Linked DNA regions of Mus musculus: all the other regions are reported to be linked to region 3. The links are microRNA targets in miRTarBase. Many come from high-throughput screens and were not tested one by one. Region 3 holds a microRNA gene; each other region holds the end of a gene's coding sequence.

Region 1 (4,531 bases), not on the chromosome of region 3:
GTGATTTCCAGGACAGCCAGGGTTATACAGAGAAACCCTTTCTCAAAAAACAAACAAACAAAAACATAAAGAGCACTGACTGCTCTTCCAGAGGTCCTGAGTTCAAATTCTAGCAACCACATGGTGGCTCACAACCATCCGTAATGAGATCCGATGCCCTCTTCTGGGGTGTCTGAAGACAGCTACAGTGTACTTAAATAAATAAATCTTAAAAAAAAAAAAAAAACTAATATCACAGGCTGGGGCTGTAGCTCTGCAGTCAGCCATAGAGCACTTGACCAGCGTATATGAGAGTCTGGGCTATCTCTCCAGCACCACAAAAAACCACAGTGCTTATAAGCCCTTCAAAGCCCTTCACACAGAAAGCAAACACTCCTCTCTCTCTCTCCCTCTCTCTCTCTCTCTCTCTTTCCTTTTTTTGAGGCTAACCTAGTCTACAAAGTGATACCTTCTCTTCAAAGCAGGGGATAAGGGTGGGGTTGGCTTAGATTGAAACTTCATTTGTAGGATTTTTGCCTGGAATACACAAGGTTTTGGTGCTCTATCCTCAGAAGAGCACAACAAGACAGAGTTGTATACATCTGTTATCCCAGCACTTGGGAGGTGGAGGCAGGAGGGTCACTACTACATGAAGACTTTGTAGCTAGCCTGAGCTACACAAAAGCCTGCTTCAAAGATAATGCTTAAATAAATAAATAAAATAAACGGTGGCCGTGTTGGTTGGCGCATGCCTTTAATCCCAGCACTTGGGAGGCAGAGGCAGACAGATTTCTGAGTTTGAGGCCAGCCTGGGCTACAGAGTGAGTTCCAGGACAGCCAGGGCTACACAGAGAAATCCTATCTCGAAAAAAACAAAAAACAAATAACAAACAACAACAACAAAATGCTTAAACAAACAAACAAACAAAATAAATGATGGCAGTGTTGATTGGCGCACGGCTTTAATCCCAGCACTTGGGAGGCGGAGGCAGGTGGATCTCTGTGCCTTCCAGGCCAGCCTGGTCTACAGAGTGAATTCCAGGCCAGCCTGGTCTACCGTTTGTTCCAGGACAATTGGAACTACATAGGGAGACCCTGTCTCAAAAACAAACAAATCTAAAACTCAAAGAAGGCCTCCCCTCCCGCCTCCACCCTTGATTCTCTCACTTCTCCTTGGCTAGTTTGGCTGCCTGCCTTCTCCTAGAGACAGCCTTTTCTCCTCACGTTGTCAAAAGCTGCACATTTCTGTGAATAACCCTTTGCAGTCCCCACCCCAGTTCTTCCCACAGAAGGCTGTCTGTCTGTCTACTCGGCCCCAGGCTTAGAGAGGTTCCTTCTGGGACAGCTGTGTCCTCTCTCCCATTTACTGGGGTCCAGGACCAGTCCCAAGGAAGCGAGGAAGGCCCCAGGCTGGGTGGGCAGTAAACTACCCAGCCACCATAGCCCTGGCCCGAGCCCTTTGTCACCTGCTATGCCACCTCCATTCCTTCTCCTAGCTCTAGTCTCTGCCCTGCCAGGCGGCCTATGGGACCTTGGTCCCAGCTGCTGTCTCTAAGCCCCTTGGCTGCATTCTGGGCTGAGGTTCCAGAGAGGCCCTGATCTCCCTCTCCTCCTGGCTTTCTAGTGCCCCCAGCCACATGGTCTTTCTCAGGACAGCTTCTCCCAGCCCCACAGCCTACTTCCCCTCCCCCAGGATTCTCCCATCCCTCTTCCTCCACCTCCATCCTTCCCATCCTCCTCCTCCCTCTCTGGAATGTCAACCCTCCCGAGGGCTCTGGATGCCTTGGTGGGAACCCTGCCTGCTGCTCTCAAGTCTTCCCGGCCTCTCATTCCATCCTGGCACTGCTGCAGGCGAGCAGTGTGTTTAATTGCTTGTTTGTTTTCTGTCTCCCCGACTAGAACAGAGTTCCTGAGCACAGTGACTCTTCACAGGGACTGGCACACCCCGGCTCACAGTACCCACTGAATGACTGAAGGAATGTTTCCTCACAGCCTCTCCAGAGACAGGCACTGTTGCCTCGGATTTCTAGAGGCAGAAACTGGGGCCGAGAGCAGAGAGACTCTTGCTTGCTTCTGGCAGCGAGAGGTGAGAGTCAGGGCCAGGAGCCAGGCCTACCTGACTCCCAGCACGCTCAGAACCAGGCTGACCAAGTCCTAGGCACTAGACCTGGGGCCAGGCCCTCAGCGCTGAGTCTGGTCCTGGAGGCCCATCCCATCCCTCCAGGCCCGGGGTGAAGTCACTCACTGTTCAACCTATGTGGAGGAACCTCCTGGGGACACAGTAGGCCTTCAGCTCGTTGATGCCCAGCCCCCAATACCACCTCACCAACCTCCCCTTCAGGGAGGCCTGCCACAATTTGGCGATTGTTAGAGACTTTTTTTTTTCCTTTTGGGAGGAAAGCTGTAAGTCATTAGGCTGTTCCCGCCTGCGGGTCACCATTTCCTGTTTAGAAGACTCATCTCTCCTTTGGAGCTGGAAGCTCCCCACCCCCCAGCCGGGTTGGAGCTGGGCTGGCTGAAGCTCCCAGCCGACGCCTGCTCAGCTCCCCACAGGAAACTGGCACCTTCATCACCTTTTGTGCTTAGAAAGGACACTCATTTTCTCTCGAGCCCCAGGAGGCCCTCAGAGTTGAGGTCACCAGCACCAACTAGCCTGAGGTAAATTGCTCCAGCCCTGGTCCTCCAAGCAGGAAGCTGTATGACCCCTACCCTTTGGCCTGGCTTCTCACCCTCCTGGCTCCAGCCAGCCCATTTCCTTGCATCAAAGACCATTTGGTACCCAGCAGCCAGACAGAGGTGTGGGCCTGCCTGACAGGGAGGCGCTTGGGAACAGGAAAGACATCCTCCCTTCAGCTGGGAGGGGCAGCTAGCTCTGCCCCAAAGACCTGCTATGGTGGAGCCAGAGCTCCTGGCCAGGCTGTGGCTAAGCCCCACAAAGCACCTTCCCAAGAGAGCCCGAAGAACTAAGAGTTCAGGAAGCTTGCACTGTACCAGAGTGGGACAGATACCAGGCCAGGCAGCCCAGGCCCCAAAGTTCACGACTAGTTAGAACTCCAAAGCACAAGACTTAAGGCCCTGCCCCTCCCTCCTGGAAGTCCCTTTATGGTGCCCCCACCCCAACACTGAGCACTTTTTAGTATATAAATTAACCATTTTATTGAATATCAATAAACTGTACATATTAACTATACAAAATGCTGCTTACAATATAAATACCTTTAAAATGTAAACATCTTTCTCCCGGGGCCACCTGTTGGGCCCCAAAATAGTTCTGGGAGACACATTGGCCAGGCTGAAGCACCCCACTTGGCCCCTAACAAGTGATGGCCATTATTCATGGTCCCTTCTGAGACAGTTAAACTGCTGTGAAACAGGTGTCACCAGGACAAATGGGGGCGGGGGCTGAAACAGTTGCCCAGGCCCAGGGGCACCTGGACATGTGTCCAGTAACCACCCTGCTGAGGCATGGTTACAGCTGGACGGGGTGGGGGGGAGGGGAACTATTGCATAGTCTGTTGTACCTCAAAGAAGGTGGCCTGAAGGGTCCTTGAGGGAGGTAGGGAAGTGGGGTCCCCTGAGCGGGGTTCAAGCTTCCCAGCCAGTGGGTTGGCTTTAGTTCTATGGCTCGAAGCAGCTGTGTCCAGAGGCTACACCTCATGAATACTGAGGGGTAGGAGGCTCTGGGCGGGTACAAAGGCACTCCATCAGCCACCTGCGGCAAAGGCCACCAAGAGAGCCAAGCAGGAACCAGGTCCAGACATGGACGCCACAGGTCCCCGGACCAAGGCTGGAAGGAGTCCTGGCAGTGAGGAGGAGGGTGAGCTCCGGGAAGATGCCAGCGAGGATGGGGAGGTAGCAGGGTCAGCGAGGGCCTCCGGAGCAGCCAGACTCTTGGTGCTTGTGGAGCAAGGACATGCGGGAGAAGGTTCGGGCACAGGCCTGGCACTGGTATCTCTTCACATCCGAGTGGGTTTGGAGGTGGGCACGCAGGTTGGAGCGGTCAGCAAAAGCACGGTTGCAGTGGGAGCAGGAGAATGGCTTCTCACCTGGGGAGAGATACCAGCAGGGTTAGGAAGGCCTGGACAGGGCCCGGTCAGCCCAAGCACAGCCAGACCTGCACTGGATGCGGGTCTCTGGGCTTCCTGCTGTGCAGCCCTGAACACCACCAGACTGCTGAGTCTCCAAACTCCAGGCGGGGCTCACTGAAACAAAGTCCTTCCCACCTGGCAGGCACTGAACACTTCTGATTGACCTGTCATCTGTCCCTTCTGCAGTCCTATTAGAGGTGGGGAAACTGAGGCACAGAGGTACGCAGCAGGCTCTAGGTCACCCACCATACCTCCATAGCCCGGGTTGTAGTCACTGCCTCAGGCAGGGGAGCTGCGACTGGACTTCCTATTACCAGCCTTGAATTTACTTTGATTTACTTTGTCTGGGACAAAGCTTGAGAGGCAGCCTGGAGAGGCCTCCCCACCCCCACCCAGAGCCAGCAAGGCCATTCCTCTGCATGCTGCCAGCAGCCCACCGCTCTGCAGTAAGGAAGCTCTCCTTA
Region 2 (4,438 bases), not on the chromosome of region 3:
GATACTTTTATTTTTTGAGACAGGGTCTTACTATGTAGCCCTAGCCATCCTAGAACTCATATAGACCAGGCTGGCCTCAAAGGCAGAGATCATCTGTCTCTGCCTCCTAAATGCTAGTATTAAAGATGTGCACCACCATACGTGGCTCGCCCCTATATTATTTCTAAAACCCTTTCTCCTTTAAAGGTTCTAACTACATATCCTTACTGTCTCATTTGACTCCTGGTTCTTCTACCTGCAGATCAGGTTATCCTTTACCCCTCACACTTAGAGGCCTCTCAGCCACAGTTCTACTCACTACCTTTACATTGATCTTATTGTCAAGTGTGCTTTCTGTCTTATTACTATAACTCATTATGCCCATAGCCTTGTCTGACTTTCTTGCTTCTGTGTTTGTCAAAATTAGGTTTGTGACCTCCCCCTCCACCATCAGTCAGCCCCTTCTTTCCACCCTTCCCTACTCAACCATAAGTCCAGCAAGTACAGTCTGCTCAGCATCAACAGACAAGCTTTTAAATTCATTTCTTAAGCTTTCTAGGTTATCTGATAATGAGCCAAGTATGGTAGTCAAACTGGTTGACTGACTGTTAGAACTTTTAGATATGGATTTTGTGTCTTTCTTTACTTCTTGGAAAAGCCCTGATTGTTTTAAAAAGTCATAACCATACAGTCTTGCCACTACCAAACCATTGTTACCCATTTCCTCAGCTTCTTTCATTGTTTATCTTAGTAGCCTCAACAGTCTTTGAAAGTCTGTTATTTTAGACTTTTCCTGTTAAATCCCTAGTTTGTACATTTTCCATTTTGAATGATTTCCTTGGCTCTTCTTGGGATAGATTAGAAAAAAAGACAACCTACTGGCTTTATGGGAATTAGTCTTAACCATTGTGGACTTAGGAATGCCAACTGGTTTCTAGTTACTGTTCACCTTGAAGGTCATTTGTATTTGTATGCATTAAGCCCACTCTTCACATGGTAACTTGATGAAGGCAAGTTTTGCTGTTCCATTCCCACTGGCATTTTAACTAATTTCTGCAGTTGGTAACCTATTTTATCCTTAATGTCAGTCCTTTGACTATGCTTTATCTCTGGCCAGTTCTGATCCCTCTGCCTAGGTTTTTAAAATTTCCCACTCTATACATTTAAATATTGCCACGACTATGTTTTAATTGCCCTTTCAAGAGTTAACAGATACAAAAGCCAGTAAATACTTTCAATCCTCCTCCTCCTGTTTACCTGTGGCTTCTTTCATTAGATCATTGATCTTTCTATTCATCAACCCCACCCCCAACTATAGCTCTATGCTTTCATGTAGTTATCTCCTGCTTATTCTTAAATTTCATCCTCTAGGTAGGTAGTCCTTGGGCCTTCCTTTGCTCTTTCTTAGTTTCGGTCACAGAGCTAGAGACAGATCCATGGCCTCATACATGTTAATGAAGTGCTCCATCACAGGGCTGTTCACTCAGCCCACTGTTCCTTATCAATCCTGTCACGATTTTTATAGCACCCACACGGATGAGGTGTATGATTTCTCTCAAATACCTGTGCTTCTCTACCAATTATCTGAGATGCCATGGCTTGTTTAAGGTATTACCACCCCACCACCAGCCTTTGCCCATATGCATTCCTTGATCCAGAAAGTTCTAGTCTAATTATAGCTTTAAAATTTCGGTCAGAGACAGACAGTTAAAACACAAAACTAGATTTTTAACTTAGTAGGTCATGGTGTTTCTAATTACTTCTGAGAACATAGCTACTTTGCCCGTTTATGAAACATGACTTGTGATTTCTTTCAAACTTTAACTATAAAGATGTTGTTACTAAAGACAACCATCTTATATACAATCACATAAGCATACAGAAATTTATTTAGTGTAACTAAATGTCCCTCCAGGTAACCATACTAAAAGTGGATCAATGTGATGCCATTTTTTTCTGTAGTTTTTAATTTGATTTAGTTAACTTTAACTTTGAGTTATGTGTACTACTGTGACAATTTTTTTCAGTCAAACTTCTAATAACACTTTTCTGTTTTAAGATCAAAGCCATTGGCCAAACAGAATTGAATGCAAGCAACCCTGAAGAAGTATTACAGCTGGCAGCACAGAGAAGGAAAAAGAAGTTTCTACAAGCAATGGCAAAACTTTACTTTTAAGCAGTTAGTTAATTTTTTTTCAATTTTATTTTTTAAACAGTGGGCTAAAAGTAAACAGTATTAAAAGATTAAGTTTATATAATACATATGTACAATTTAGTGGTGTTTTCTTTTTAGACCAAAACAAACTGAAACAAATTAGTTTATAAACAAATTATACAAAAACTTCATATCTTAACAATAGTTTATAATTTCTTCAAAGAGAGACAAGGTTCATGCCTGGTACCATTTTTTTTCTAATGAAATTAACTTTTTTAGGCCCAAATTTCCTTTTCAAAGGCTAACTTAAAATATTTAATGTATAAGTAGCTATTCTATATACAGCAAGTTTAAATAAATAAATTTCTAGGAGTAAGTATACATTTAATATTTTCTGCCATAAGAAAATAGTTTAGGTCATATGTTAAAGTTTTTTCATGTTGACACAGTCCTCATCTCATAATATGGGGCTTAAAAATGGACCACCAGTTTTGCAAACATAAAGCGCCTTAGAGATATCTTAGTGTGCAATAAAGTGACTTTCTTATATAGTTTGAAAAAGTGTTTAATTTTACCCAAATTGTGATACACAAAAAGATTATAAAGCAACCTTTCTATCAAGTAAAACCCCCGAGTAGAAGAAGCCAAAGCATTTATATCTTGTTTATAATTTCTTTGGTTCTCCCATTTAGAGCACAGTTTAAACATTTGGTTCAGTGCCTTACTGATTAAGAAATATGGCAAGGCAGACAAACTAGTTCAAAACAGATTGAACTTTACCATTCATAAAATTCAAGTTTTATCGTTTGTTACAAACTGCTTTAGATAAATTAGTCACTTTATTACAAAACAACCTTTGTAAATAAGCTTAAAATTTATTTTCAAAAACAAATTGCACCATTCAAGAGTATAGGAATTTAAGAATATAAAATCTAGATTCAAAGTTCTGTGTCAGCTAATGTATCCTTTAAGGTAGCACTAGTTTAGTCCATATTCCAATGATAAAATTCCTAGTTCATCAAAAGAAATACAGTAACACTGAATTTTAAAGAAACACAGTAACAAACAGAAACAACTGCTATAGCTTAAATTGTTGGCTTCCATCCACTATCCTTGGGAGTGAAGTCACCTTTGTAAACAAGTTCTCTTTTATAGGAAATACTTCTTTAGTGCCAATTTTTTGAAGTTTTTGTTTTGTTTCCTTTTGTAGTGCTGGGGATTGAACCCAGGATTTTGTGCATCCTAGGCATTTAGTGCCAAATTGATATAGTTTTTAAGTAAAAGAATGGCAGTGTAACTCCTTAGACAAGGATAGTTACAGCACTACTTTTCTGTAAAACTCATTTATATGAAACTATCCATTATTTGTTCAATTCCAGGTTGTTAACTTCAGTGTTTTCCTGGTGGTTTTTCAGTACTCTTTGGTGGTGTCATAATGCCTCCATTACACACTGGTGACAGCTGCCCTCCTTTTCTGTAGATGTTCACATAGTTTACTTCATTCTGTACATGTGAAGAAATTATTCAGTAATTAACAGTTAAGATAAACTAAGTATGTAGTAATACCAGACCTCTACCAATTTTTTCTATCCAAACTTAATTTTAGAGTCTCTATCTTTGTTGGGGGCTGGGGGGTGGTACATACCTTTAATCTTAGCACTTGAGAGGCAGAGGGATCCCCGAGTTAGAGATCAGCCTTGTTTATTTCAACAAAACTTTCTAATTTCTTATCTGGGCTGCTGGTCTTGATTTTAAGCTGCTTAACAGTAATATTTTTCTTGAGATAGGGTCTTACTATGTGGCCTGGGAACTTATGATCCTCCTGCCTCAGCCTCCCTAGTACTAGTTAGTGTGCATCCTAGGCCCTTATCATCAAGTCTGCCTTAATTTAGTTATCTCCCTTATATTTTAAGTCAACATGGTCATTACTTTCCCATTTATCATCTTAAATAACTGTCTTAAGTAGTAATGCACAGTAGTTTCAGACCTTAGATAAACTTTGCTAACTTCTACCCCATTAGTTTCAGGACTTAACTAAATAGCACGATTTTTAAAAACAATGAAAGATAAGGCAGCAAAAAAAAAAAAAAAAAAAAAAAAAAACAACCTCCCATAAAACACATAAAACAAAAAACCATACCAGCAAAGCCAAATAATTTGTGTGTGTCTGGATATTGTGTCTATCTTCCATGGGTATCTTCTTAAAAGTCTTCAGCTTCACTGGACTCACACTTTTTACAACACTAACAAAAGGCACCATCCAGTCTACACATTCCGAGATGTCATCCCATTCCAAACCTAGAT
Region 3 (4,531 bases):
GCAAAATTTCTATTTTTATTAAGTTTACAATAAGTTGATTAAAGCTTTTTTATTTTTCCAATAGAACACTGATATTTACTCATATTCTTTTAAAGTGTTTACAGCATCGGTAATTATACAAATATGTGAAGATAAAGCTATAAATTTGAACAAAGGTTTCAAAGTAATTAGGTTTACTTGTATAATGACAATGATATTTGCATTTATATAACAGACAGTAAATAAACATACAACTTTTTTATAACTTGTTAACAACCTTTTTTTTTAATTAGATGTTTTCTTCATTTACATTTCAAACTTTCCAAGTTTCCTCTCCAAAAATCCCCTATCCCCTCCCCCCTCCCCCTGCTCCCCAACCCACCCACTCCCACTTTTTGGCCCTGGCATTCCCCCATATGGGGGCATAGAATCTTCGCAAGACCAAGGGCCTCTCCTCCCACGATGGCCGACTAGGCCATCTTCTGCTACATGTGCAGCTAGAGCCACGAGTTCTGGGGATAATGGTTAGTTCATATTGTTGTTCAATATCTTTTCAACAAAGACATGTGACATGTACATAAAATGTATCAAGAAAACACTGACCTCTTAAGCATGTTTACTTATACGAGTTAGCCATGTCACATTCACTATTGTTATTAAGACATATGAGGAAGAAAGTGGTTTATGTCTGCAAGTGTTCTATAGTATTCTGAAATACTAAAATTTATTTGGTATCAAAGAACTGAAAGGGCAAAAATATCACTGAATAAAGCTGGATTATTTTACATAAATACATAGAATACACAGATCTCTCATGACATATTATTTATTTCTAAGTCTCTGCCACATTTCTATACCCAAGAAGTGGCTCAGTCGATAAATATTTGTTTAATAATACACTTAATTTCATACTTTTCAGTAAGTGTTGAAGAGCTAAAACTCAATGCCAGTTTTGATATGGAATATCCAGGTGTCTTTCTTGTTAATTTCTCAATAAAAAGCAGTGAGAGCACATGTGGTGTCGGACTCCACCTACTTCCAGCAGAGCTGTCCTTGTCCAGAGCAGCCTGTATCCCTGGCAGAAAGTGCAAGTTCAATCAATAGTAACTGTTCTTTTCAGGAGAATATAGAGCATTGTCTTGAAGGTTTCTTTAAGCCTGAAGGCAAATCTAGAAAGGTTAATGACTCATCCAAGCTGAGTTGCTCAGCTAGTACTTCAACAGTATCTTTATCTGATATAAAACCAGTTTGTCCAAATACTTTCTTGAACTCACATGCTGAACTCACTGTATTTATATATATATTTTTTAAACTAGACCTACATGCTATCTTATATGCTACATTTGGAGCTCTGAAGAAACAAAATGCTTCTCTAATATACTTAAGGCAATATAATGTCTTTTGGTTTAAATGACTGAGGCATGCTAGTATGCCAAGTTTGTATATGTGTATATATATATATAATTTAATATATGCATTAAGTATTTTAATATCCTAAGAGTTTGTTGTGTAAGAATATACTTTTATCTTCAGTATCTCTGAAAAGAAGACGTTTGATATTGATTAAAACAATATCTAATTGTTGGGGTTGGAGATGTAGGTTAGTGGTAGATGCTTGTTAGATTGCCCAATGCAAAAAGAACTCACATTTTGCACAACCCCAAATTCTAGATGAGGTGTTCAAAAAACATTTAATATAGATGATTTACTGTAAAAAGAAAAAAGTTGAACTTGGAAGGTAGTACCATAGATTTTGCTTAAAATTCTCTTCATGTATATCCCCCAACTGCACCAAACAATCCCACCTTAAATAGCAAGTTTTTGTCATATAAGGATTTAAACTGCATCTCATCCCTGGTAAAGTAACAAGTCCCAGACACCATCAAAATACAAACACAGTATATAAAATGCTAGCCAAGTTAATAGAAAAATTGGTGAGCTAAAATGCAGGCATTTAGTGTATTATTGGCTTCATATAACAGGCTACCACAGCAATCTATGAAATAATAGTCTCATACAAACTTTTTATGAGACAGCTTTCTTGATGTAGCCCAGAATCTTACATGGTAACCCAACCTGGTTTAAACTAGTCAACAGTCTCAGTCTCCTGAGTAGTGGGATTATAGGCACACACCACCATACTTGGTCTTCTTAAACAGTTAAAAATAACCAATCTCCCAAAGTGTCTTGTACTTCTTAGCACAGATTAGCTCACCCTTTTACCTTTTAGAGTTGACCGCATAACAGATCTTTGATAGGATCACCTATAGGCCATCTAAAATTCATTTCTCTTAGCTGATTTCCAAGGCAGAGAGAGTAAACAGCCTTCTCCCAGCTTTCTTACTTTTCACAGCTGAGAGTGTAGGATGTTTACAATATCTGTCACTCAGTGCTCTCTAGAGCAGGTTGGCGGTGAGCAGCACAAGCATCAGGATGCCGTGGAACATCTGGAGATCCCGTGACGTGTTAGAACAGGGGCTAGAAAACAGAGTGTACTTGGGACTAAATTTCAGCTTCTAGGTCTGGAGCCGGTAAGAAGGCTGCAGGATGCTTACCTTCTTGATGCCTAATCAATTTCTGTTTTGCACATGCCAGGATTCTCCTGGGATTTCCTGGTTTGGCCCTAATACCCAGGCATTTCTATGCTTTCCCAAAATGGTCTGAGGAATTTCCTTTCGAATTACTACCCTGCTCTCTAACTTTAGGAAAACAAGTCTACCTTCTCGCTGTCTCAGCTATATGATTTTTGTTCTGCTTCACTCCTAACAGAACTGAGAACAACTGTTCAATTATATCTGCAGACATAAGACTATACAAAAGTTTAATCACTGACAGCCATTTATCTTATTGGTGGGTTATGAAGTCATAAATCAATCCAATGAGCAGAGTAAACATGTTGGTTGGGATATAAAATAATGCATTAAGCTGGTACACTAAATATAGCATAATCTTAGAAAATTTAAAATGTTGTATGTGGAAAGAAATATATAACTGGAGGCATACACATAAATGGAGCCAGTCAATTCCTAAGTTCTTTTCTGATAATGAATGATTCAAACAGTTCCTGGAATAGAGTTGATTTACTAAATTGATCTATTGGATAGCAAAGAAGAAAGTCATCGCTTATATAAAACATTACAAAACAAGCCTACATGATGAGACTACCACCTGTGAACCAGTGTGAACACAAATCACTCATTCATGCATTAGATAAACATTTGTATGTACTTGCCACATACCAGCAGTGATGTAAAATGCTGGGTAAGGAGAAATGAATACTACCAATCTCAATCCTCAAAACAACCTAATCTGCAGGATAGATGCATCAATCGTAGTGTAGGAGGTACTGCAGTAGTGGGTCAAGAATCAGCCCTAAAATAAATGGTAATTGAGACTAACTAGTCCCATACTGTCTCAAATCTCAAATCTAGCATCTCTCTTCCAAAGCAGCCTCCACTGATCTCTGGTAAAATCTGGGCCCTGTCACCCCATAGGAACTACCTATTCTGTCCTTTCTCCATCATTATGTCTTGAATGTTTATCTATAACCAACTCATAGTTCATTGTTGTTAGTATTGCTATTTCCTATCTCTCTATAAAACCAAGTTTCCTGGGAAGTTTAGTTTAGTTTTACTCAATTTCATTCTATTTGATGAAAATCCATAACATGGAACCAGGGTTTATTGGGTATAAACAGTATTTAAAGAATAAATATATGAATGATGCTATCTAATATCTGGCAATCTAATCACTTCAAGAATATAAATTTCTTAAAACAAGAAGAAAAGGAACAACCATTCCAGAAACAGTCTTTGTAATTGCCTAGTAATTCAAAGTACAGCTGCTATACTTTTCTATGGCATTCATGGCTAGGAGGAGAAGTGATTACATTAGCCAACCTTTTCTTAAGTGACAGCAAGATCTTAGGGAAAGTTAACCCTCCCTGAGAACCACCTGATTTTTAAATTTTATTTCTCTGATGGATTCCAAATAAAGAAAAGTCAGGGTGAAAAATAACTTCAGAGACATCCATGTAAACAGTTTAAAAATGGACAGGAATGAAAGGAAACTGCCTTAATCACAATCATTTAAGGATTTAAACTGTCAAACAGTCTGTAAGAACTAAACATAATCTTGAACATAACTTTAGTTCTGGTCTTTAAGCATCACCAAAGCTTCCTGGAAAAGAAAACTTGGTCATTTTCAGTTCTAAATAATAATAATAATAATAATAATAATAAAGCCCCCGAAGTGTGTATCTGAGCCCAGTGGCAGTTGGTAAGGCTCTGTATTTAAATCACCTCACCACTTTCCTCCACCCTACCCTGTGCCAACAACTAGATTGAGGTTTTTAAGCTATAAACCTGGCATACTGTCTCCCCCCCATAAAATCATTTTTTTTGGCCATTACCTGATTTTTAAAATCCCTAGAACACACTACATCTAACATTTCAAGATATATACTAGTCTTTCCTAATCCTCATTTAAAAAACCCCAAATGTACCAGAATTAAAGTAATTATAAACAATACAGAGACAACCATGGTTAACCC
Region 4 (4,531 bases), not on the chromosome of region 3:
TGCCTCTGAACATACAGTACATGCAACAAAATGATACACTTTTTTTTTTTTTTGAGAAACCCTGAAAACCCAAAGAGTCACATGCGATATAATTTGGATTAATAAAACATATGGTGGTAATATCTAATTAAATCGAAATGTCTCGATTAGACACAAAATAACCATTAGGGTCTATCATCCAAGTTTTAGGAAGACTTTGAAACTGCTCTTGTAAAACATAGTGACTTTTCCCCAGACTTCCTGAATTATTTTTATGAGATGATCTGTCAAAAACACTTGAGAAAAGAGGACTCGAGTTTATGCACTAATGTTCACATATTGAGGATGTAGCAGGGTAGTCTGCCATACACGCCCAAGAATTCCAGCTTTAACATGCAGAATAACAAGGGTACATACAGAGAGTTAAGGTCAGTGTGCAATTCAACTATGGATTTAAAAAACAGACCTATGGCTACAACATCTACTTGCCTTTCACAACACAAGAAAGGCACCAGACATGTATTAAGTCTTCACTATAAATCTACATGAGATATTTATACAGTACAACACAGGGGCCTTTGTTTGTTTTGGGGGGGGAGGGAATGAACCTCCTTTGAATGCTAGAGACCATTCTCTCTACTAGACGTAACTAAGAGCTGAGTGCCAATTCTGGCTATAGAGTGCATAGATAGGCTGGCACCAGAAAACCCCACAGCCAGCAGCAGGGGTGGGATTTAAAGGGGGTTATTTACCTCTATTCTGATTCCTCATCAGGAATCACTAGAGGATCCTTTGCAGCATCTTCAAGCATTGGTTTATGTAAGAAGGATATTCTGCCACGTGAACTCCAAGGGCTCCGAGGCTGGGCCCTTGGTGTTGGGGAAAAAAGTCATTTGCAATTCTGTGCAAGGAGATCACGGGGTTTACCATATTCCATTCACACATACATGGGCTGCATATCAACTGGCCCTTATTTTACTGAAAGAATAGACTAGAACAGTAAGTTCTCATAATGAGCACTGAGTCTTACCGGGTGGATTGTATAGATACCTGGGGTGTTTGTAGGGCTAGAAGCTCATCATGTTGGAATATGAAGACATTTCCTAGGTAAGTACTTAGTTTTGTGCTATCTTTTCTTTCTCATAAGGAGAAAAGGAGGAAGAACTCGGAATAAAAAAGATACTTTTGTCAGATATATGGGAGTTTTCCATCACACGCACGCAGACACCCACACACACCCGCCTTATAGAACGTTTTGACTTTCCCACTTCCCTTACCAGACAGGTATTTTAAAATAATGTCCTCTTGATATCTGCAGCAATCTAGTAAAAAATAACATTTTTTAAAAATGTAAACTATACTACAAGACCAGGATGCTAATCACATTAATATGATCAGTAAATAACTGGGAGACGGGGGCAGCCAAGCTGTGTAAGTAGTGTCAGAGTGGAAAACCACACTGAAGCAACTGGCTTCATGAAAATAAAACAAGAACATCCAAAACAAACAAACAACAACCTCTGGCCCAAATTGCATATTTCAGCAATTGAGGGACATTCACCAATTTCACAAAAATGGGATTTAGGTTCTTGATCAAAATGATGGGCACAGAATTCTTCATAGGGCTCTTAATCTTGACTGAAAGTTCCCTTGTGTAACAACAAATGTTAAGTCCCCAGTGACCGTTACTCTGCAGGCTCAGCTGATGAGTGTGTTAGTTAGAAACCCTTCCACCACCTTAACAAAACCAAGGAGTGGTACTATCTTTGTGCTTAGCAACTGAGAAGTCACCTTAGAAAAAGTCGCCTTCTTTCTGAAATCAGAGATGCCCTGGACTAACAGCATAAAGGCATTGCATTGTTATATCATAGATGCAGAGTCCTACTAAAACTTTTAAACAAAATTTCCCACAGAAACCGGAAGGATTTACTTCATTAAATACGACAGGCAACAGTCATGTATACCGACCAATTCAAAACACTGGAAATGAGCTTCAGTTGAACAGATTTTTAGTACAATTTACATATATATTTTTTATTTTAAGTGGTTGTTGTCAAGCTGGGTAGTGGTGGCCCATGCCTTGAATCCCGGTACTTGGAAGGCAGAGGCAGGTGAATCTCTGTGAGTTCAAGGCCAGCCTGGTCTACAGAGTGAGTTCCAGGATGGTCAGTAACAGTTTCTCTGTTTAACAGAGAAACCCTGTCTCAAGAAAACTAAAACCAAAACAGAATTAAAAAAAAAAAGGTTGTTTTCATAGTCATAGCCTGCAGAACTGCTGTTTCATGGTCTTTCTATACTTTTCTACTTTCATTATAATGAAAAGCATCGACTATATCTGTCTATCCATGTGCATGGCAAACCTTCCACATGATATTTAGTGAAACGGAAGTCCTGCCTTATGCAGGGGTTCTGTGGTAAACTTAACCCTGTTTGACGGTACAAAAGAACCATCAACACTGCTGTTGACACTTCTGTACCTGACTAGTAATAAAAAGGCCACAAGGTAAAAAGGCACATAGGAGTCTATAGAAAACATATTTAAATGAATCAAAGTTGTTAAAGTAAGAAGGATGTGATGAGAAGTGACAAAGTTCCAGTACTGGGGGTTAACAGTTCCTGTTTCAGTGTTAATTAATATTGACCTCAATAGACTCTTGATAACAATTACAAAAAAAAAAACCAAAAACAAAAAAAAACAAAAACAAAAAAAAAACCTTGGTTGGAAACAAAGATGTCCTATTCCCGCTCAAACAATAAATATAAATTAAACAGTAAGAAGACATTTTCTTTTCAGTTCACAGAGCCTGAAGGGAGACATACAAGGTATAAATAAAAACTCACTGTACTTACTCAGATCTTGCTTAGAGACCTGTATTTACATTCGTACCCAAGTTGTGTCAGAGTTTAGTGGCGTCTCAAACTTACTCTGCCACGTTTGACTATTAGCAATCACATTTGGAAACACGTAGAGACTTAAAACCAAGCCTTTCCCCCAAATGCTGAAAACGATGAATGTGTGTATGTACACACACACACACACACACACACACACACACAAGCTACATAATTTGAAAAATATACCCTTATGATAGTCTAGAGTACCATTGTTTCTTAACCATCTCAATGCCCATGGAGTAAAAGTAAACAAACAAACAAACAAACAAAAAACCAACTGCATCGCTTCCAAGAGCCTGGAGCTATTATTTAATCTCCTAAATTAGGTGTATGCATTTTAAATCTGAAATACTGTCACCTTCCATTTCGCCTGTGGAGTTATACTGCTGACTAAATGATAGACGATGGTTAGATGGATGCATTCACTGTTGCCTCGCCCCATCTGTTTCAAAGCGAGCACGATGTGACCAGAGGGGCTTCGGCAGTGCAGGTCCACTCCTGTGTATTTAACTACGCTCTTCATGCAGCCCAAGCCAGATGCGCTTGCTTGCAGAAGTACAGTGTTTTCCTCTAAATGAATAGAAGCTCTCCATCCTCGGGGCTTCGCAAAGAAAAGGATTTGCTCCTGTTAAAGCAGAGAAGGAGGGATGTGGAGTGAATCGGGCTTATAAGTCTTGCATGTCTTCATCCAACTGGACGGTTTGGAGCTTGGCCAGCTCTTTTTTGTCCGTTCCCAGGTCTTCACAGCCGGCTTCAACCATGCCGTCCAGGACGTACTTGGATTTCGAGTCTAACATCATTAAGTTGTTTGTTGCTTTGTTCTCAGAATTTTGTAAGAAATTCTCTTTTATGTTAGGGACTGACTGCAGAACCAAGCGCTGTTCTCTGACAAAATCCTGGTGGACTGCTGTTGAGGCGTGGCTCACCTGCTCTTCAGCTGTGGGTACGATCTCACCCAGGGCAGCCTGGGTCATCGGGCCGGACAATAGGTCTTGCCCCGGAATAAGGGAACAGTTCTGAAGGGTTGCATAGTTAGTGTTGCTGACAGATGACACAGTACATTTGCTTGCCACAGGTGCAGACACGGGCTGGCTCTCGGCAAGGTCAGGGTTGAGCTCAGTGGGATTAAGTAGTGTAGGGGGGGTCAGGGAAAAACCGTGGGCGGCGGACACATTAACCAACGACGAGGTCAGAGGATGGAGGCCACTCCCAGAGAGATTTTCCGAAGACAGGCTTGCATTTACTTGTGCACTGTGATTGACAGGCATCAACTGAGAAAAGACCAGGCCTCTTTCTAAGCCTTCCTGTTTCACAGCTCCTACAGTCTGGCCTGAATTAGGAACGGTGTATACCACTGCACTGGGGGTAAGAGGGCTCAGGAAAAGTTTACCGTGCTGGACTGTGGCTGGCTCACTTGTAAATGTGCTTCCGTCCGAAGTGCTTGGGGTAACTGAAAGATTACCTAGGGGGAAGAGGACCAATTAGCATTGATGAAAATGATACAGAAAGAAAAACAAACACACAGTCACTCCTTTAGCACACACGATTTTTCCTCAGGTATAGTATTTATGGAGAGGTGACACTTAAATATGTAATGTAGTTCAGCTTCAGTATGGTAAACTGCAGAGTCCCAGGCTGAGGACGCAGGCCGACTAAC
Region 5 (4,531 bases), not on the chromosome of region 3:
AGAGCTGAGGACATACACAAAAGACACAAACACGGGGGAGGGCGCTCGTGGGGGGGGGGAAGCCACCCAGTGTGTGGTCACAAGACCAGATCATGGACCTGGCAAACTTACTAGCACCCCCAGACTCACATGGGCCCAGCCCTCACCCACCCCGACCCCTCACAAACTGACACACATGCTGACACACACTCGTTGCTGACAGGCACAGACTCTCTGACAGCCGGCTGCCCTTTCTCCACCCCAGAGACCCTTACCTGGGCAAGCACAGTACCCCTCAGGCAGAGTAGCCCCCTGCCCAGGGGTGGGCAGCAGGCAGGGCGGGGGAAGGAGCCCCGGAGAGTCAGGCCAAGCTGCCACTAATCCGGGCGGGGAGAGGGGGGGCACCCACGTCAGAGCGGGGACTGCCGGGTGGAGGGCATCTGAGGACATCCCCTCCCACACACGCGGCCGTCTGGGCACCTAGCCCTGCTTCCCCAGCCCCTCCATCCTTCAGACAGCTGAAGCTGGCCTCCCCCTACCCCACCCCCACCCCTGTGGCCATGCTTGGGGTGGGGGGGCATGGGGAAGGGGGATACAGGGCGAAGAAATCTCCCAGGACCAGGGGGAGGGGACAGGGAAGGGAAGTGTGGAGATGCTGCGGGAGCCAGGAGGAAGCTTGGGGTAGATGCTGTCCTTTCTGCTCGCTCGCCCACCCACCCACATCCTTGACCTAATTCCTCTTCTGGAGCCCTTCCTCTCTCTAGCCCTCCCCCACTGCCATCTAGCCTGCGTTGTGTTCCAGGCTGAACTTGGGACCTGTGTGTGCAACGATGCCAGCTCTGCCCCCAGGATCCCCCAACCCTAGGAACCAGCGGTGAAGGTCGCTTGTTAGTGGGCACCAATCTCAGATGCTGGGTGAGAAATGGGGATGTGAACCTGAACAGTTACCCCCTGGAGCTCCTCCAGTGCCTGCCAGGACCCCTAACTCAGCCTGGGCTAGGGCTGCATGTGTGGGACCCAGAGGCTTAGGATGCTGCTGGGAGTGGCAGCTAAAAATAAAGCCACAGGATCCTGTGTGCTGTGACAGAATCCAGAGAAGGGGAAAGTGACCAGGCTAATGAAGGGCCACAGGTCAGAGGGACAGTGATGGAGTCAGAGGCAGAGGGTTAAAAAAGGATGGCAAGAGGTGAAGTGGAGAGAGAAAGGACTGTGAGAGGAAGTCCCGGCTGTCATGGTAACAGGCCAGGAAGAGTAGGAAAAGCTGAGGAGTGGGGGTGGGACCAGAACTCACAGAAGGTATGTGCTAGGGACTGGTCTCTGGTGTCAGGTCCTTTTCCAACCTTGATCCTATCTGGGGAGGAGACCAGGCACACTGGTCTCAAGTAGAAAGTTGGTGGTCCTTGGAAAGTAGGAACAAGACCAGATGCCCTCCCTTTAAGAGGCCAGGCCAGAGCATCAGTGGTGGTCCAGGGCTCTTTTCCAGGGGAGGATAGTGTTGGGTGAAGGTGTGTTTGGGTAGTTCTCAGAGCTGTTCTGAGGGATGTCCAGGTTGCTACCCAGTGCCCCAAGTCTTGGCTCACATTTATGCTTGCCCAGAAATGCCTACCACCTGGACCTTCTACACATTTGTTTTTCTGTGGCCTCAGGATGCTTAGTAACCATGTGATTTTACCCAGCCATTCACCAAGCCATACCAGAGACACTGGTGTTTTGAAAGCTGTGTGGTGGAACTAAGGTGACACGGCACAGCCACCAAAGCAAAAGTTCACTCCCACCCTGAAGAGGTTTAAGATGTTTGATGTATGTGTTGGTTTAGTCACAATCCTCTTTCAGGCTTCGGATGGGTGTCAGGCCTTGAGCTGAGGCTGGGAGCCACAGTTAGAGATATGACCGTGGTGACAAGTGACTCCACGACTTCTAATCCTATGCTGGGGAGTGAGAGAGGCTTCTCAGAGGAAGGGGTGACGTTTCAGTGCAGAAGTTAGACACTAAGCAGGATTTCACCAACAAATCACACAGTTATAAAAATATCACACCTTGGTTCAACCATGTAGTCTGGGATACAACAGTAAAAATAAGGCTGAAGTCTCTCCGTGAGTGGCTAGGCAAGGCAGAGGCATGCGCGCAGAGGGTTCTGAGACAGGTGTATGAGTTGGAGTAGGAGAACAAAGCAGGCCGGGGGAGGGCAGAGGTGGGCTCTGCAGAGCCAGGGCACAGTGGCTTCAGCAGTCCTCCCAGGAGGACCAAGTGACTTTGCCCACCTCTCGGGCAGCACCTCTATAGAGGAGAAAGCCGTTTCACCTGTAAGATGGACAACAGGCCCTTTGCGAAGATTCAAAGAAACCAGCTCTGAAATGCTCAGCACAAGGTCAGGCGAGCAACAAATATCCCACACATGCCAGACTCCTTCTCCCTGCCCCTGCCCCCAGGCAAGGAACAGCCCATTTACTGAATAGTGATTAAGAACATCAACTCTGGAGCCAGACTGCCTGGTCCAAAGCCCAATCCTGCCACTTACTAGCTAGTCCACCTTGGGCAAATCATTTGCCCTTTGTGTGCCTGTTTGGGAAATGGGGATCATAGTAATAGCGGCTACTTCCTTGTCTCCTCACCCCTACAGTTCCTAGCAACACATCTTTTGGGTGAAGTAATGAGGCAGTAAGAGTCAGCATCACATACAGAGGGGATGCCATAGAGAAAAGCCACTGAACCCCAGTCCATGCCAGGCTAAATCAGCCACACAGATTAAGTGCCTTCCCCTCCAATAAAACCCAGATAATCCCTACACCAAGAGTTAATCCTCACAGGACACTCCAATTTAGCAGCTCATAGTTTTCCTCCAACCAGCACTCTTGACTCCGAAGTGGGAAGGAAGGACAGATGGGGTGGGAGGAGGGAGGACCCTGGGTACAACGTGCCTCCTACTTTAGGGGCAGATGACCCAGGGATCAAAGGAGATGGATTAAAGTCAACCCAGGGCAAGCGCCTGGGTCTCTATGGATGGAGAAGGCAAGCATCAGACAAGGGCTATCATTGGCTATCATCATTCCTTTGGCCTGCCCCATCAGCATCCAGGCCCCAGCAGGGTGAGGCGTTGGCTCGTCTCTGAGCCCCGCCCACTTTGACCTGGAAGGTGGGGGCAGCCTGGCCCTAGGCAGCTGCTGCCCTCTTGTGGCTTAGAGTGCAAATTCACCCTAATCGTATCTGAATGTCTACAGGAAGAGTTCACTGAACTGTGGCTCCTCTAGGTTCATGGAAGACCTAGCCTGCCTCCTCAGGTTTGCTCTGTACAGTTTCTATAGGCTCCCCATCTCTTTGCCTCTTCCTGTAAGTACTGATTCCCGACTGACCCTTCAAGATCAGTCTGACTCTTTGTTTTTTGTTTTTTGAGACAGGGTCTCTCTAGTCCTAGCTGATCTGGAACTGGCTATGTAAACCATGCTGGACTCACAGAAATCCTCCTGCCCTCTCCCCCTCAACCATGTTGGAATCAAAGGCTTGTGCCAATACACCAGGCTCTACCCTAACTCCACAAGGATCCCTAGGAGCAACTGTAAGAATACTGCTGCTGGGATGGGGCACAGAGATCTTCCAGCAGTCTCTACACCCTTTGCCAGAGCCTGCAGTGAGTTGTTAGCTACAATATGAGATGTGAAGAGACAAATTAGGAGAGGCCAAACACTGTTTGGTATTTATTTATATAAAAATATTCATAAGCCTGACCTCACTCACCAACACGAAACATGCAGCTAGTGTACGTAAACACACACACACACACACACACACACACACACCAGGCCTTGGAAAAGGCTGTCAAGTATTTTGAAGGACAAGAAGGAATGAACACAGCTGGTTGGACTTTTGGTTTCGTCGGTAGGGACTGGTGGGGCTCTGGTCCCGTGTCTGAGAAAGTAAAAGGCAGAGGAAGGCAATAAATAGGCCCCAGGCCTGGGCTGCTTTGGTATAGTGAATGTCTCCCTGTGCAGGGTACCACGCCATGTGCCATTTAGGCACAAGCCAGACGGAGCAGAACCCCGGTAGCTGGTGTAGCAGCGAAAGGTCCCCTGCTGGCTCCAGAGGTAAGGTGGCCTCAATCTGCAGACTCTAGCTGTCCATGTCTGAGGGCATGGCCTTTTTCCGGGTTCGGACCTTCAGGGAGCGTGAGGTGCCCTTGGGAAGAGAAAGCCAGTATACCTTGAGTGGTGTGGGCACTGCAGCTCCATCCACACCCCCCTCATGCCGTCCTTCCAACACACTTACCTCTCGAGTCAATGGCTTCCTCTTGACCACCCGAAGGCTCTGGCTGCGGCCTAGAGGCTTCTCTCGGGGCCGAACAGGTGGCTGGGGGACGATCTCATTGTCTGACCAACACTCATCCTCTGTGTCACTGCCCTGCAGGCCGCCTGGCCGGTATCCTGCCAAAGAGAGGCCCGCAGGGCAAAGCTGAGCACTTATACAAGCCTAGGGTCACGCCCAGCTTGCCTCTAGTCCTCAGAGAGGTCAGCTCCCCCTCTTTCCACTTACCAATAGGGGGTCTACGTCGGGGTACCTG
Region 6 (4,496 bases), not on the chromosome of region 3:
ATAAAGATAGGGTTTTGTTTTTTTTTTTTTTTTTTAAAGAGGCTTTGTTTTTAAATTGTTGGAAATGCCACATGTGATGGCCAAGGCTGTCAAGGATCACAGACCTGCTGGGAAGTCTCAAATGACAGAACTATCAGGAGCAGCTATTTAGCAATATATACCAAATGTTAAATTTTAACAATTATACTGTAAACAACTTACCCTTTGAATGGAAAAAAGTTTACCAAAATACTGTATATGAAAATGTCCAGAGAGGCTGGGTAAGATGGGCTTCCTTTTAATCCCAATACCCAAGAGACAGAGGCAGGTGGATCTCCAGTGAGGCTAGCCTGGTCTTCATAGGGTGTTCTAAGCCAAAAGAAAAACCAACATTCAGACCTAGGTCATAGGTTGTTTCTGTTGTTGTTAGTGGTAGTGTTTTGCTTATTTCGTCTCATTTTGAGTGTCTCATGTAATACAATCTGATCTGGAACTTCTGATCTTGCTTCTGCTTCCTCAGTGTTGGGCTTACAGGTAAGTTTGGGTGTTAAAGCACTTTTAGGGATATATAATTTGGGGGAGGGCTACTTTGGAGCATCTTTCAGAAACTTCTGCATACTCATTCCAAAGACTTAACACAGCTCCTCCCACTGCCGCCCCCCCCAAACAAATAAAAGTCCTTTGAAATTCCCTAGGAAATTCAGAGAGGGGGGCTTGCATGAGGTCTGCTCAGAAACGATTTCCAGTGGTGGAGCTCCCAGGAGCCCTGAGGTAGCTTCCCCATGGACAGATGGCTGGCCAAGGAGCAGACTGTCCTCACTTGAAAGAGAGCTAGAAGCCAGTGGTCCCAGGGGACACTGGACTGAAGCAGTTGTGCTGTCCAGATGCCCCTGCAGTTGCTGTAACAGGGGCCGTCCTCCTGAGAACAGGAGACTACAGTGCAATGATGGCAGTGTTAGCCTTCCCTGCTGGTAATTTTATGGAGGAGGCTAAGAGGGCTCCTCTGAAGAAAAGGCCATACACCAAGAATTGTGACTAGTTTCTTTTGCATTTAGTCCTTTTTGTTTTGGGGGTTATTTTGGGGGGGGGGGAGCATGGGGAGCGTGAGTTTCAGACGTAGCTGAGGCTATCCTGCAACTAAGTAACCTGGCCTGGCTGATCCTCCCATCTCTCCCTCCCAAACACTGGGATTACAGGCATTCAACACCATACCTGCTTTTCCTCCTTAGTACCACTATAAGGAATCTGTAGTCTGGGTACAAGTGACTTTAATAGACTTTCATTCTACTTGATTTGACTCATAAAAAGCAGCAGTAGGGCCTCCTGGCTTCTTGTGCTTTAGAAACTCGAACCCAAGAATTTGAAGAAATGTGACAACACGAGGCAGTTTAGGGACTGTCAAAAATCAGGGAGGGTAAATCGATCAATCTGGAGTTCAAATTCTTGAACTGTAATAAAAGGAGGCTTAATGTGCCAATTTCGTTTCTAGTAGCAAATAAGTGTTTGGAGAGGAGAATCTGTTTATCCCAGCTCAGAATACACAGCCAGAAATCAGAAACAGCAGAAAGCATGAACCGAAGGCTGCTTCAAGCCTCTCTGCCTGTAAACCCGAGAGACTGACTAAAGGCCTGAGTCCGGAGAAGCTCTCCTGTCAGTACTACGCAAAATCCCTGAGGCACTCAAAATTCCAACAGCCTCCTAGAGTCCTCACTCCCCAGTCCAGACTCCTCAGGGGCCTCCAAGAGCACCCTTGTCTACTACTTCTAGCCTCAGGGCCTTTGCAAAGGGAACTCCCTTGACCTCCCAACAAAGCTCTGCCCATTCAGTTCACTGCATTATGCATTTCTTCCTTTCTCCTCACAGTCAGTCATTCCTGCCATGCCTGCACTGTCCTCAGAACCCACCAGTGACAACTACATCACAGGTGATGCATGAACCTGGTGAAGAGGCTGCACACCACACTCAAAGCCATGACAGTCCCGTGTCAGCATCATGAAGGCTTCCAGAAGGAAACGGCAGCCCTGAGAAAAGAGCATCATGGCTAGACATGACAGTAGCCAATCAACTGCCCCATGTGAAAACAGAAAAACCCCAGGAACGGGGCTTGTTTCAGATTTGCTGGGCCCACAGATACCAAAAGGATGAGTGCCCTGTCCCAGCTTCTCCTAGATTGGCAGCACCCTCAAACAGGACAGCAGCAGATCATCACAAGTCACAAGGTGCGAGGACCAAAAAAAGCTTCTTTTTGAAGAGGCTCAGCAGGTTGTGTCCAGGACGCCCTGAGCTGGGGAGGGAGGTGTGGCTTGGTAAGAGAAACATGAACGGAAACCAACTGGAGGACAGAATATACCCATCACTGGAGGACAGAATATACCTATCACTGGAAGCTGGTAATTGTACTTTATTTTTGAAAAACCAATGACCAACAGTAGCTTCACTGGGACAAAGTACTGGCAGCAGGGTAGGGCAATTCTTCACACTGTGACACTCTTAACAGTGACAATTTCTAGCCGGGTACGTGTACATGTACTATTTCGAATTTCAAACCACAACTGAGGTTTTAAAAGAATGTGAGTTCTTAAAAATGGCATCCTCATAGAAATGTTCTTTTAGCGAAGCTTCAACCTATGAACAGCAGAAACAGATGTGAACAGCAGCACATCATGAGAGTACCATACAAAAGCACAAGTTTAGGCACTTCATCAAAGGAAACCGCTTAGAAATACTGTAGATGAGGTCCACTCCTATGCAAGACTCTGCTGGTCCCTCCTCGCCAACTTTATAGTTGTTGGGCTATGCAGAACGTGGGCCCTCAGTGGAAGCATCCTTCTTTCCTCACACGATGAACAAGCGCATTCCCTCTTCAACTCCAGGAGACGGGGAGACAAAGATTCCCCAGAACCGATGAGAAGTTCTGGACGGCACTGTCGTGAATCTGCCCACTCTGCATAACGAGTTTGCTGTCCAGATCCTGGGCGCACAGCACTGCTCATACGGCACAGTTATCTTCACTCACTGAACACAGCACTGCTCATACGACACAGTTATCTTCACTCACTGAACACAGCACTGCTCATACGGCACAGTTATCTTCACTCACTGAACACAGCACTGCCCATACGGCACAGTTATCTTCACTCACTGAACAATCAATACCCGCGCTTCAGTCAAGTTGAAGCTTCTCAAGGCTTGTCTGACTTGAGCTTGTAATACACAGATACAACAGGCCATGGGACCACAGCAGGTGCACTGAGGAGGGAGTGGTACTCTGGGGGTGTCATGGACTCAAGAGAAATAAAAGGTACAAAACATCAAGTTTCCAAAGTCAGGTGAAGCCACAGTAGACATGACTTGCCAGTCCACTACCAATCACAAATCCTGCCTTCACATGGGAAGCCTTTTATACGGTAACTGTGATATTGACCAGATGGTCATACACAGACCATTTCTAGAGGACATGAGAATGTCATCTGCTATGCAGTTTCCTGCACCACCTGCCCCACCAGTCTGCGAGGGGCTATCTGGTCCTGCCTACCTGGCGGGAAGCTTGCCACCTGCTAAAGGTCTTCTCTTCTGCTCCCAGCTCGATTGTCTTCCTTGGAAGCACGTGGTTTGGGATCTCCCTCCTTCTTTTTAGCCTTCTCTGGCTTTGTTTTATTTTTCTCCTTGCTTCCTCCTCCTTTGCCAGGATACATCTGTCCCTCTAGAGTGACTTCAGCACACCGGTCTTGACTGACCAAAAAGTCCTTGATCTCCCAGGCATAGCTCCCATCCCGGAGCATGAAGATGGCGCGGTCGGATCCCACGATGAACCTAGCCAGAGAAGCCAGCAGTTAGCAATGTAAGTGAGGTGCCTGGGGTCAGAGAAGGCTGGGAGGCCTACATTTCAATTCCACCCAAATGCTGAACTGTTCTGCCTTGGGCCAAGTGGCTGCTGACTTTAATGTTCACTGAGCTCTAAACAAGCATCCTGCTAAGATCAAGACAGAAGCAGATGCTTGATGGTCCTGAAGCATACATAAATGACGCTGTGAAGAGATTATAAATGACAAACTCCTTAGGGAGCTGCAAGGGACACAGGTGTGCTGCAGAGGTGAGAAATTCCCATTTTTATCTTTAACATGAAATGTCATTTCCATCTATGTCTTATGGTTTGTACTGGCTAGTTTTGTGTCAACTTGACACAGCTGGAGTTATCACAGAGAAAGGAGCTTCAGTTGAGGAAATGCCTCCATGAGATCCAGCTGTAAGGCATTTCCTCAATTAGTGATCAAGGGGGGAGGTCCCCTTGTGGGTGGGACCATCTCTGGGCTGGTAGTCTTGGGTTCTATAAGAGAGCAGGCTGAGCAAGCCAGGGGAAGCAAGCCAGTATGGAACATCCCTCCATGGCCTCTGCATCAGCTCCTGCTTCCTGACCTGCTTGAGTTCCAGTCCTGACTTCCTTGGTGATGAACAGCAGTATGGAAGTGTAAGCTGAATAAACCCTTTCCTCCCCAATTTGCTTCTTGGTCATGATG
Region 7 (4,527 bases), not on the chromosome of region 3:
AGCATAAAATATGAATCTGGTCAACAGGCACCTTGAGTAAGAGCTACTCCTGGCCACTACCACCCCATTCTTTATGGCTGATGGGACCAAGCACCTTTTGCAAATTAAGTCTCCAGAGTGATGTCTATGAACATTCTCTGGGAAATGCTTTTTCCAAGTGGCTCAGGTGCTGACAAGAATTGTGAAGTGAAAACCATCTGTTTCCAACCAGGAATCAACATAGAAGAATCCTCGCTGCTGTACTGTGTACTAGGCCTGGGTTACATCCCCGACCAGTTATGAGTATGTATTTGTTTGTGCAGGTGTGCATGTGTGTAAACCAGGGATTAACACAGCTGTCCTCTTAGATAACTCTTCATACCTTTATAAAGGCAGGGTCTCTCTGACCTTGTAACTCAACAATTTGATTAGACTGGCTGCCGGCAAGCCTCCCTATTACAGAGATTACATGTTCACACTAATACATCCAGGTTTTCTAAATGTGGGATTTAGTTATCTACCACACTTTAAGGATTGAGCCATCTCCCCCAGATTTATTTTTTAATACTTACAGAAAGTATTTATTTACTTTACAACCTAATACCAGCCCCTCTTCTCCCAGTACCAACTCCTTGCAAGCCCCTGTTGCCCCTAAATGTCCCCCCACTCACATGTTAAGTCGCTGCATCTACCCAGATTTTTATATACAATAGAAGCAAACTATCATAAGTCACTACACTACTGTTTGGCAATGCAGTTAATCTACCACATACCAACTAATGCACGTCAAATTCTAGTTTAATTCCTTTAACCTAAAAAAAAAAAAAGTCATACTTACTAAGATGACTTATGGCTGATTCCCATGGAGGACACTATCATAAGTGCTCATTCTCTTTCTCTTGACCACCCTTCACGCCCCAGACAGGGTCTCACTATGTCCCGGAACTCACAGTGTAGAGACTTTCAGAGATCTGCCTGTCTCTGCCTACTGAGTGCTGGAATTAAAGGAATGTATAACTCTGCCCAGCTGCACATGCTCATTCTCAGAGGTTTGTAACTTTGAATATTTGGTTTGTTGGTGGCAAAGCCTGAAATGATGATTTTAATGAAAGGAAAAGTAAAATCCATGAACCAAAGGCGTGATATCTTATTAGACCACAACAAAAGGACAAAGTCCCTTCCCACAGAGAATGTAACAATTTAAACAAAACAAAAATGGTCTGTTTTATTTACAACACTCAGTGCATCTTACACATGACATATTTTCATTCCCCAAGTCTTTTGAAAGCAATTCCAATTCTAGTTTGTGCAAAGAATTTACAGAAAAACTTTAAAATAGCCATTAGACCTTAAACTTAAATCCTAAATTTTGATATTTCACACTATATTAATAGAGGACTACTTTTAATTAAGAAAAACCAAACGCTGCAATTAATTACTACACTCTGGGATCTTTAACTCAAATACAAACTGGATTAGCCTATGAAATAATACCATTAGATTTGGATAAATTATTCCAACCTCCCATCCCCAATAAAATGCATGCACAAATGAAACATGGTAATTACATCAATGATATTTCAACTTTTATTTTTGGACTCTCTCAACTGTTTGTTTCTCAATTTAGGGTATAGGTATAATGCAGTTGGAGAACTCTGACATGGCCACGCCCTGCTCCACAACAGAAAGGCTTTTCAGAGAGCCTATTTCAGGGAAACAGGTGGCATCAGAGTTTTCTGAGTTGATGACAGAAGCCAGTTCCTCTGTTCAGTGACAAAAAAAAAAAAAAAAAAATCACTGCCCTGCCACACAAAGATCTATAGAGAGGTAAAGAGCAACGATTTTAAGAGAACTGGATTTTGACTCATATACCTGCCTCCTTCTACCGGCGTGGGGGTTGGGGGGGAGGGGGGCCTGGCTCACAAGCCAGCGAGAAGGAAGGCACAGAGGCGACTTCCACACTGACCTACCCAGTGTATCGCTGTGCTTCCACTCCCATAATACACATCTCTTCAAAAAGGTGATATTCTTACTGCTAAGTGTAGTTACCACCTCCTACAAGTGATTGAATCGGGAGATACTGAACCGAAAAATAAAGTTTCTGATTTGACCTAGCCCAGAGAATTATAAGGAAAAGGAACAGTGAGGTAGAGTTGAGAGAGTTCAATTAAACTTGTGAGCACTGACCTTGGCACACTCTGTAATTACAAACCCCTCATTAATCTCTCCTTGAGACATATCTTGGCATCCCCTGAGGGAACACGAAGCTCAAAGCAGCCATCTGAAGGCTCCATTTGTGGCACATCAGCTCTTATTCACCTCAATAGTGAAGCAAATAAAAACAATGCTACCCAGTTCTGAATTTATTTAAACAAGTAAATTAATTTAGAAATTCCATTCAAAGAAAACTTCTGACGACATGTAAACATACTGCCATGTTCTTGAAACAGATGTTAACACCCAATAAAAAAGTTGTTAATCACTTCTGAGGAAAGCTGTCCATTAATAAGGCCAGTCTTCAACAGAACAAAAACCATTTTAGCTTTCCTAGTTGACAATACTATTAAACTACAGTTTAAGGACAGTATTTAATGGATAGATCAGTACCATTGGTTATAGCTTTTAAACAGGTTCATTTCTGGCGCCACATGAAAACAAGCCACTCACATCAATAAATCATGGCTTTTTTTAAAAAAATCACAATTTACTAAAGTGATGTTAATTATGGTCCTTGTCAAACACGTTTGGTAAAGGCTATTTACAGTGTACATGGCCGAGCATGCACTATTAACAGTTACAGAGAGGCCTGCCACTTTCCTAGGGATCACACAGTGCCTGAAAATGGTGACAGATCATACGTCATTCAAATCAACACAGTTTCAAGCAGAAAATGTTCCTTTCTGTTTTTAACCACAATTGCAATAGTTACATGAAAATTCTTATAAAAACACGAATCCCCTTCAAGAAACTGATGCATATTCTACTCACTACAGGAGGTTAAGGCAGTAAAAAAATGTATTCCTGATAACCGGAGGTCTCCACAATATCAATTAAAGCTGTCTGACTACTTTTGCATTCTCCGTCATATGCTCAAAAGTTGCGAATTACTTCATTTTTAAGGTAAAAAAATTACTAGCAACTAAGAGTTGACACTGGAAAATTGCTAGGGAAAGGAAAAACACTAAGTTGGATTTGCCTGAAAACTTTTCAAATCATAAACAAGAGCATTGTTAGTCTCAGTCTTAATGTATCAAACAAATAATATATTTACCTTTCTTAATTTAAAATATACTGTTATTTTGAATAATTCAAGTAATGTTAAGACTATCAAAAATAACTTTGTAAGTCATACAAGTGTCTGTCAATTGCATTTTTTAATGTTTTAATTTAGAACTTTTAAAGAACTGTAAACTAAACCAAGACAGTTTAGTTAAATAAATGATAAATGACCTTTTAATTTGCACTTGTGATTCTTTTAATACAAACTGCTACAACAAATATGTAAAGATATGGCAGATTATACATTTGATCAAAGCACTTTGATTTAAGCATAAAACAGATTCAAATGGTCTAAGGTCGTGCATAAGATCCAAGGACTTGCCTACTGGCCTCACGGCAGCCTTCTCTCTAATCAGAATCCATTCATTATTCCTCAGCTGCAGAGGAGACAGGGCACAGTCTGTTGTAAACAGGTAACTGTTGTAAAACCAGGATAATAGTCTTAAATTACGATCATTCTCGTTCAATTGAAAAGACTCTCCCAAGTGTCTTCCAGCACTGTGTATTCTGTTGACCTCTTTATTTCATAAATTAACTTTCCTTTGATTCCATTTTATGGTGGTTGTGTTCAGTTTTGTTTTAAAAATTGGTTTAAATTTATATAAAACTCTGTACATGTTCACAAATTATTGCATAAACAGCATAATCTTCAAGACAGTGTTTGTAAACACATGTCCAATTCAGGAAAAAAAAATTCACGTTTCCCGTCTGGCCTTTTTCTTCTTTTTTATTTGTTTTGGAGATTCCCAGTTAGTTTCAGACTTGGCTAAATGGGAAAAAAAGGGAAGGAGAAGGTGAGGAGAGAAAAAAAATGTAAGGAGGATAACCAGTATATATCAACAATATAAAAGTAACAACTATGGTGCCAGGTAGTGGTGGTGCATGCCTTTAGTCCCCACACTCGGGAGGCAGGTAGATTAGTTCAAGGCCAGCTTGGTCCATCCACCAAGTTCCAGGACAGATAAGGCTACAAACAGAGACCCTGTCTCAAAACAACAACAAAAAAAATGAAACATAAAACAAAACACCCGCCCCCAAAACCCAAAAAGTAACACTGATGAAAAAACTCTACTAATGTTAACATTTTATTGTTTAATAAGTCTTCCAGTCTTGGATATTTTCAAGTTAGCTATTCTCTGCCTCCCTTCTTTTACAGCCCAGGGTATTAATTGTAACTGCTGACACTGAACTGATGGCAACCTACAGAATCTGCTTTTTCTTTTTCTTTTCTTCCCTCCTGCCTCTTTTTGAGAGGGGACAGCCTTATGT

The links. Region 3 holds the annotated microRNA mmu-miR-30c-5p (UGUAAACAUCCUACACUCUCAGC, at 2,332-2,354, opposite strand). A microRNA usually pairs through its seed, bases 2 to 8, with sites in the 3' UTR of a target mRNA and lowers its output. Matches are read on the target gene's strand: a 7mer-m8 pairs with bases 2 to 8, a 7mer-A1 pairs with bases 2 to 7 and ends in A, and an 8mer does both.
Region 1: the mRNA of Snai1 is a reported target of mmu-miR-30c-5p. Seed matches in the 3' UTR shown: 8mer at 3,204-3,211.
Region 2: the mRNA of Ccne2 is a reported target of mmu-miR-30c-5p. Seed matches in the 3' UTR shown: 8mer at 3,267-3,274 and 7mer-m8 at 2,206-2,212.
Region 4: the mRNA of Six4 is a reported target of mmu-miR-30c-5p. Seed matches in the 3' UTR shown: 7mer-m8 at 3,120-3,126 and 7mer-A1 at 1,329-1,335.
Region 5: miRTarBase lists Reep4 as a target of mmu-miR-30c-5p. Seed matches in the 3' UTR shown: 7mer-m8 at 3,738-3,744.
Region 6: the mRNA of Mesd is a reported target of mmu-miR-30c-5p. Seed matches in the 3' UTR shown: 7mer-A1 at 1,581-1,587.
Region 7: miRTarBase lists Mtdh as a target of mmu-miR-30c-5p. Seed matches in the 3' UTR shown: 8mer at 3,921-3,928, 8mer at 3,663-3,670, 7mer-A1 at 3,385-3,391 and 8mer at 2,400-2,407.

What each region holds. Positions count from the first base shown.
Region 1 is chr2:167,541,393-167,545,923 of GRCm38, reverse strand. It overlaps Snai1 (snail family zinc finger 1), which reads right to left. Exons shown (of 3, transcript NM_011427.3): 3 at 3,110-4,025. The coding sequence ends at 3,841. Among named protein-coding and RNA genes, the nearest start is that of Snai1, 5.5 kb to the right of the region's middle.
Region 2 is chr4:11,202,184-11,206,621 of GRCm38, reverse strand. Ccne2 (cyclin E2) reads right to left here. Exons shown (of 12, transcript NM_001282943.1): 11 at 4,275-4,432; 12 at 1,843-3,637. The coding sequence ends at 3,524. Ints8 (integrator complex subunit 8) reads left to right here. Exons shown (of 27, transcript NM_001159595.1): 27 at 2,039-3,694. The coding sequence ends at 2,155. Among named protein-coding and RNA genes, the nearest start is that of Ccne2, 13 kb to the right of the region's middle.
Region 3 is chr1:23,289,537-23,294,067 of GRCm38, reverse strand. Mir30c-2 (microRNA 30c-2) reads right to left here and starts at 2,367; the gene lies at 2,284-2,367.
Region 4 is chr12:73,099,903-73,104,433 of GRCm38, forward strand. Six4 (sine oculis-related homeobox 4) reads right to left here. Exons shown (of 3, transcript NM_011382.3): 3 at 1-4,336. The coding sequence ends at 3,540. Among named protein-coding and RNA genes, the nearest start is that of Six4, 11 kb to the right of the region's middle.
Region 5 is chr14:70,548,048-70,552,578 of GRCm38, reverse strand. Reep4 (receptor accessory protein 4) reads right to left here. Exons shown (of 8, transcript NM_180588.2): 6 at 4,504-4,531; 7 at 4,240-4,394; 8 at 3,644-4,149. The coding sequence ends at 4,084. Among named protein-coding and RNA genes, the nearest start is that of Hr, 3.9 kb to the left of the region's middle.
Region 6 is chr7:83,897,046-83,901,541 of GRCm38, reverse strand. Mesd (mesoderm development LRP chaperone) reads right to left here. Exons shown (of 3, transcript NM_023403.4): 3 at 1,231-3,792. The coding sequence ends at 3,537. Among named protein-coding and RNA genes, the nearest start is that of Mesd, 7.0 kb to the right of the region's middle.
Region 7 is chr15:34,140,189-34,144,715 of GRCm38, reverse strand. Mtdh (metadherin) reads right to left here. Exons shown (of 12, transcript NM_026002.5): 12 at 1,179-4,024. The coding sequence ends at 3,954. Among named protein-coding and RNA genes, the nearest start is that of Gm38594, 24 kb to the left of the region's middle.